Linked DNA regions of Ovis aries. The protein of the gene in region 2 interacts with the protein of the main gene of each other region in a pairwise test. Links are inferred from orthologs where the notes say so. Each region holds a gene or a part of one and is shown on either strand. Other genes may lie near its edges.

Region 1 (3,650 bases), on a different chromosome or scaffold from region 2:
GAGAAAGCCTGCACAGAAAGCAAGGAAGACCCAGAGCTGCAAAAAAAAAAAAAAAAAAGATATATGATGGTTTGTAAGCCTCTGGAAAAATGCTCCGCTTCATTAGCCAGCAGAGACATGCGAATACAAGCCACAGTGGAATACTAGAGCACATCTGCTAGAATGATTTTGCAGGGACTTTCCTGGTGGTCCAGAGGGTAAGACTTCCTGCTTCCACTACAGGTAGCATGGGATCTGTCCCTGGTTGGGGAACTAGGATCCCACATTCTCTGTGGTGTGACCAGAAAAAAAAAGAAGAATGGTTTAAAAAAAAAACCTCGACAATATCAAGTGTTGGCAAGGAAGCAGAGCCTCTGGAGTGCACCGATCTTGCTGGTGAGAACACAAGAGGGTAAACCAGCTTTCCCCAAAGTCCAAGATGGTTTCCACTTTGGAACCAGTTTAGCAGTTTCTCAAGTTAAGCATATGTACTTCCATAAACTCAACAATTCCACTGCTAAGTATTTACTGAAGATAAGTGGAGAAGTATTTCCATGCAGAGACCTGTGTGAAATGAATTATGGCAGTTGTATTCGCCATACTCAGCCCAACCTGGAAACAAGCCAAGTGTCCTTCAGCAGATGAATGTATAAAACCCGCACGGTCCATCCATTTTCTGGAGTACTCCTCAGCAGTAACAAATACAACAACTTGGATGAATCTGAAAAGCACCCCTGGGGGCAGGTGTAGGAAGGAGAGGGAGGGACAGATGGAGAGAGTAGCGTGGAAACGTATGTAACACAGACAGCCAATGGGAGTTTGCTGTCTGACTCAGGGAACTCAGACCCAGGCTCTGTGACAACCTGGAGGGGCGGGGAGGGAGAGCGACTCAAGAGGGACGGGACATATGCATACCAATGGCTGATCCCTGTTGACATATGGCAGAAACCAACACAATATTGTAATTATCCTTCAATCAAAAATAAATTAAGAAAAAAATGAAATACATTACTCTGAGTGCAAGACGTCAGTCTCAAAAGTTGCGTGGAGTTTGACTCCATGTGTGTGGCGTTTTGGGAAAGGCATAACTACAGGGGCAGCAAACGGATGACTGGTTGCTGGGGGATGGGATGAGCAAAGAGCTGATCACAGAAGGGTGTGAAGGGGTTTTTGAGGGCAGGGAAAGCACCGAGCCCTAACCATTCAAGGCGCCAGGGTGTTCCCTGAACCATTCTACATCTCAATTGTAGTGTTTCCTGTGTACGTCTTTCAAAATTCGTAGAACTCCAAGAGAAATGAAAACATGTCCATAGACACATTTGTATATCAATGTTCCTACAAGCCTTATTAAGAGTCAGAGAGTGAAAACAACCCAACTGACTGCTTATCAACTGATAAATGAATAAACATAACATAGTATACCCAACAGTATACCCCTTCAGAAAAGAATCCACCAGCAGTGCAGAAGACGAGGGTTCGATCCCTGGGTTGGGAAGATCGCTGGAGAAGGAAATGGCAACCCCTTCCAGTATCCTTGCCTGGAGAATCCCATGGACAGGGAAACCTGGCGGGCTACAGTCCCTAGTGTCACTGAGAGTCAACCGAAGAGGCTGAGCACACAGGCAGTACACGCATATCACGAAATATTATTCTGCTATAAAAAGGGATGAAGCACTGATAATGATGTGTGTCAACCTCAAACATGCTGGAACTTCCCCGGTGGCTCAGCGGTAGAGTCTGCCAGTGCAGGAGACAGAGGTTCGATGCCTAGTCCGGGAAGATCCCACGTGCTTCAGCAACTAAGCTCCAAAGGCACCACAGCTACTGAGCCTGGGCACCAGAGCCTGCAAAGCCACAAGTCCTGAGCCCATGTGGCGCAACGACAGGAGCCTGTGCAACCTAGAGCCCCTGCTCCACAGCAAGAGAAGCCACCGTAATGAGAAGCCCAGGCACTGCAACCGGAGGGCAGCCCCCGCTTGCCACAGCCGGAGAAAGGCCACGCACCCACGAAGATTCAGCATAGCCAAAAATAAATAATAAATGAATAAAATTATTTTTTAAAAGTAGGCTAAGTGAAAAAAAAAGCCAGACACAAAAGACCAGCTATTGTACTATTCTACTTACACGAAATGTCCAGAATGGGCAAAGTCATAGAGTAAGAAAGCAGAATAACGGTGCCTAAGCCTTGGGGGTGGGGGGGTGGGGGTTGGGAGGTGCCGGCTAATGGGTACAGGGTTTCTTGTTGAAAGTGAAGTGAATGTGTGAATGCCTCAATCATGTCTGACTCTTTGCAACCCCATGGACTGTGGCCCGCCAGGCTCCTCTGCCCATGAAATTCTCGAGGCAGGAATACTGGAGTGGGTAGCCATTCGCTTCTTCAGGGGATCTTCCTGACCCGGGGATCGAACTCGGGTCTTCCACATCACAGGCGGATTCTTTACTATCTGAGCCACCAGGGAAGCTCTGTAAGTAATGGAAATGTTCTAAAACTGACTATAGTGATGGTTTGCACAACTCTGTGAATGTACTACAGCCAAAGGACACTCTCCAATGGGTGGATTTGGAAGCACACAAAGCGTATGGTATGAGAATTATTCTTTTAAGTGTTACCCAAAAACTCCTCATAGAACTCTATGTTGAAAACGGTGAATATAATATTTTGAAATTCTTCAAAAATATTTTGAAAAAATATCTTTGTTCAGAGCTGCGTCTCTGCACCTGGCAGACAGTTAGTAAGCAGCATTTCAGTAACCAAGTGGAGAAAATTAAGATCTTTCCTTCCGCCCTCTCTTCCTCCCTTCTTTTCACAAATATTTATTGAACGTGTTTCACTGTTTTAGGCTCAGCGAACACGGTCACGATCAACAGGAACCAGAAAATCTACCCTCATGGAGCCAGGTTCTAGTGAGGAAGACGGACACTAAATCAACCAATGGAAATATAATACAGTGGCTGGCAGGGAAGACAAGTGTGAGGAGAGTTCAAGGATGGAGAAGCTGTTTTAGCCAGAAACGTCTCCAAGAGCCAGCGTAGGGGCCGGGGAGGGAGCGAGGCACCCAGGGGATCGGGGAAGGGTGCCCCCTGGCGGAGGGACCGGCCATTGCAAAGCCTTGGCTCTGAACAGACGAAATGGGTCCCAGTCCCCACCGCGCCTCCCGCGTTCTTCTCCCCCTTTGTTGTCGGTGTCCCCCTCTCACCCTCGGCCCCACACTCACCCAGCACTCTCCCTAGTGCCCCCCCCTCCCAGCCCGGTCCGGCAGGTACCTGACTTGGGGTAGGTGACGATGAAGATGTCATCGTCCTGTACTTCGGCGTTCTCTACCAGGCTGATGCTCTCAGGCGAGTAGATGCCCACGGGGAAGAGGATGCCTTTGTACCTGAAGTATTCGCCGGACAAATTCTGGCTGTAGGAAGGTAGGGGAGACACCGTGAGGACCGGAGACGAGGCACGGACAGAGGTCACCCCTGAGAGAGCCTTTTTAAAATTTTAATTAATTAATTTATTATTTTTTGCCATGCTGCCTCATGCAGGATCTCAGTTCCTCGACCAGCGATAGAACCCACGCCTCCCAGTGGAAACTCGGAGTCTTAACCCCTGGACTGCCAGGGAAGACCCAAGGGGCCTGCGTTTGAGCGTCCTTCGTGGTCCCAGGAGCCTGCCCAGGGGTCCA
Region 2 (4,144 bases):
GCATAATAGTCTCTAGGTCCATTCATATTATTGCAAATGGCAAGATTTCATTCTTTTTTTGTGACTTAGTAATATTCCATTATATCCCTCTTCACAACATTCTTTACTAAAATTTCCGTTGGGTTTGGAATCAGTTGGGTCTGATTTTGCACAGGAAATCTGCTTATCATCTGTGGGACATCAATAAATGTACTTTCATTTTTATGAGTCTCAGCTTCCTCATCTGCAAAATGGGGAAAAAATTCATGCCTCCTCACTGGGCTCTCAGGCACATGAAATGAGACCATGTCATGAAAGTTCTCAGCACACTGCCTTGCATACATTAGGGTTTCTAAAACTGGCAATTGAGTTTAGGAACATTATGAAGAAGGTATTTTGTTTACAGAAGCTTTTATTTCTAAATTTGTAGGAGAATAGGCTTTTAAAAAAATATGTGTTAAATTGAATTATGTTTGTTGTAAAGAAAATAACACAGAAAAGCCCAACTAAGTAAAAATAATCCAAAATACTAGCATCTAGAGGTGACCACTGAAAATATTTTGGTGAGTGCCCTCTAGAATTCTCTCTAGTCTAGAGAAACAGATGCATAATTTTCCATAAATGAAAGCAAATTCTACTTACATCCTAGATATGACTTTTTAAACATATAGTCAGTAACTATATACATATACAATCATAGAATTATTTTTAAACTTAAGTTTACTGTGGGGAAATTCCTAAAATGTACAGAAGTAGAGAAAAGAGTACAGTGAACTCACACGTATTGTCACCTAGCTACAATAACTAGCAATTTATGGCTAGTCTCGTCCATCTTAGCTCACCTTTTTAAAAATTGGAGAATAATTGCTTTAAGATGTTGTGCTTGTTTCTGCTGTACAACAATGTGAATCAACTGTAAGTTTACATATACACCCTCCCTCTTGAGACTCCCTGCCCCTCCCCCACCCTACCCCTCTAGGTCATCACAGAGCAGTGAACTGAGTTAATCCACTTTTCTAACACTAGATTATTTTAAAGAAAATTTAAAGCAAATCTATAATTTTAATTATTTAAAACAAACCTTTTAAACAAGACTGAAGACTTCCTTGGTCGTCCAATGGTTAAGAATCTGCCTGCCAAAGCAGGGGGCACAGGTTTCATCCCTGGTCCAGGAAGATTCCACGTGCTGCAGGGAAACTAAGCTCACGTGCCACAAGTACTGAGCCCTCACACCCTGGAACCCATGCTCCACAACAAGAGAGTGGCCCCGCTCACTGCAACTAGAGAAAGCCCACGTGCAGCAACAAAGACCCAAGGGAACAAAAAGTAAACAACAAAAAAAAATTAAAAAGCCTGAAATTTGTTTCTATATTATCATGACTTTGTAAATTTCTCTTCTATGAATGTACCCATTTATAGTTTTAGCTAGCTTTGTAAATAAACATTTGCTTGTTTCCTTTTTTCCCGATTATGCCAATTATGAGCAATGCCTTGGTGCATATTCTTTTGCTCTTAAAAAGTAAAGGCTTCCAAATACCCATGGGAATGATACTCAAAATTATTAACAACCAGTAAGACAAGGGTATGGAACAAGCAGAATAGTTGAGGGTTATGGAGTGTAACAGGGTGACAGAGGACCCCACTCCCATCCCCATACCAGGTAGTAACCACTCGCTGAATCCTGAGGAGGTCTGGGGGTGCCAGGAGAATTGTGGAGGTAACCAAGGAGGCAGGCATGACATTTGAGGGGCTTGAACAATGTATATGAACAGCCAGTATGGCAGTATTTTATATTTCAATAACTGTGCATACAAGCTAAATGTCACCCCTCTGCCTTCATATTCCTCCAAGAGGGAATCACTGTTAACAGCTTTTTGGGTATCTTTCCAGAAATATTCTATAATATTTAAAAAGTTTTTACACACTACACCATGCCTTGCCTTTTTTGGTGTATGTATATCTGGACTTTCCAGGTGGCTCAGTGGTAAAGAATCTGTCTGCCAGGCAGGAAACTCAAGTTTGATCCCTGGGTTAAGAAGATCCCCTGGAGAAGGAAATGGCAACCCACCCTAGTATTCTTGCCTGGGAAATCCCATGGACAGACCCGCTTGGGAAGTTACAAATCCAAGGGGTCACAAAACAGTTGGACACGACTTGGCAACTAAACAACAACAGGGTATCTAATAGATATTTCCATATCAGCATGGATAGATCTAATGCATACACAGTGGCTGGATGTGCATTTTATGGCTCCAAGACTATAGGGGTGTGTGTATGTTTTAGAATCTTGCTCCTCACTCTTTTCCTTTCCTATATCTCTTTCTGATGATTTTACCTGAGACTCATGGACTGAATGTGCCAATTGGTGACCCTGTAGTCACCAGTGTGCAGCTGAGCCTCACATTAATAATCAGAAGAAAAAAATTTTTATGAAACATTTTTCCAAAGAGCTTACCTTGGACTGCCCAAAGATTCGTTTTCCCCATGTAGTTTCTTTTCAATTCAAGAGTCTTAAAGTCACCATAAGGTTAGAGAAGCTCTTTTTCATCAATGCAAAATCAGAATTAATTTTAGGTCAAATCCGGAGGGTTCCAGGATGCGAGACTTTAGTGGTCATTCCAAGTGATTGAAATGCCAGAGCAGAAAATCCACAGTTTTCCAGGGAATCCAGTCAAAGTCTTTCACAAAGGCTGACCTGGCATGAGCATGAATTTCCCTTCTGAAGACAATCCAGTTTGAGTCTTCTAGTATTGCAATGTAAGTCAAACCAGAGGAGAAAGTCACTCCTTCACTCAGACTCTCCAGTGAGAGTTGGAGTTGTGAGATATTTCCTTAGCAGATGGTGGGGGAAGGTTTGTTTCTTTTATTGCTATGGAAACAGAACGGCAGCATCTCATTGGCTCAGGCCCTCAGCTCTTAAGAGAGAAGTCTGGAGAAGCAGCCATTAAGAAACTCTCCAAGATGTGAGACAAGGTATGTTTAAGACATACTACCGGAGGAAACAGAATTAAGTAGCACTCCTAGGCTTAGTAGGCTGTCGCAGGATCTGTGGTGGGTTTTAAATTCTTGTCATTTGCTCACAAAAACCTAAAACTCTAAAGCAGGCACTTTCTTCCTTGAATTTTAGGCTTTGAAATCTGTTAAAGTGCCAGGACCCCGGGGTAGGAGTCCTTTTCAATTACCAAGAAGCTCAGATTTTTTTTGCCGGAAAAGAAGACTGCTTTTACTCATTACAGAAAAAAAGAAGCTTGTTTATCAAAGACCAGTAACTTTTATTTTTATTCTACCGCACCTCACTGTATTGTACATGAAAGTGAAAGTGAAGTCGCTCAGTCGTGTCCGACTCTTTGCGCGACCCCATGGACTGTAGCCCACCAGATTCCTCTGTTCCTGGGATTTTCCAGGCAAGATACTGGAGTGGGTTGCCATTTCCTTCATATTTTATTTTAAAAAATTGCATGAAATAATACCCTTATTACATACTATTTTATCTTTCTTTTTAAAATAATTTTAAATTTTCATTTATGTTTAAAAATTATTTTAAAAATTTATTTTATATTGGAGCAGAGTTGATTAACAATGTTGTGTTAGTTTCAGGTGTACAGCAAAGTAATTCAGTTATACATATACATATGCCCATTCTTTTCCAAATTCTTTTTCTATTTATGTTACTACAGAATATTGAGCAGAGTTCCTTGTGCTATACAGTAGGTCCTTGTTGATTATCTATTTTAAATGCAGTAGTGTGTACATGTTAAGACCAGACTCCCAATCTGTTCCTTCTTTTACTATTTTTAACAATTCTTCTATTTAAAATGAAAGCTGATTATAAATCTACTTTATTGATTTCATGATTTGTCATAAGCCAGAGCTTTTAGAACATTGGTATAAGTTCATCCATTCATTCTACTCCATCAGATCAGTTCAGTTCAGTCACTCAGTTGTGTTCAACTCTGCGACCCCATGGACTACAGCACGCCAGGCTTCCCTGTCCATTACCAACTCCTGGAGCTTGCTCATATTCATGTCCATCGAGTCGGTGATGCCATCCAACCATCTTGTCCTCTGTTGTCTCCTTCTTCTCCTGCCTTCAATCTTTCCCAGCATCAGGGCCTTTTCCAATGAGTCCGTTCGTCGCATCAGGTAGCCAAAGTATTGGAGTTTC

Evidence for each region. The genes of interacting proteins can lie anywhere in the genome.
Region 1: the proteins of FLACC1 (region 2) and SULT2B1 interact in binary tests that used the Homo sapiens proteins (3 or more experiments, as listed by UniProt). The two-hybrid records come from large-scale screens. The link is inferred for Ovis aries from reciprocal best matches to the Homo sapiens genes FLACC1 and SULT2B1.

The regions. Positions count from the first base shown.
Region 1 is NC_056067.1:54,985,785-54,989,434, reverse strand, and holds part of SULT2B1 (sulfotransferase 2B1), read right to left. Parts: intron 3,384-3,650; coding exon 3,244-3,383; intron 1-3,243. UniProt on the Homo sapiens protein: Sulfotransferase that utilizes 3'-phospho-5'-adenylyl sulfate (PAPS) as sulfonate donor to catalyze the sulfate conjugation. Responsible for the sulfation of cholesterol.
Region 2 is NC_056055.1:203,676,361-203,680,504, forward strand, and holds the start of FLACC1 (flagellum-associated coiled-coil domain-containing protein 1), read right to left. Parts: upstream 2,801-4,144; 5' UTR 1-2,800.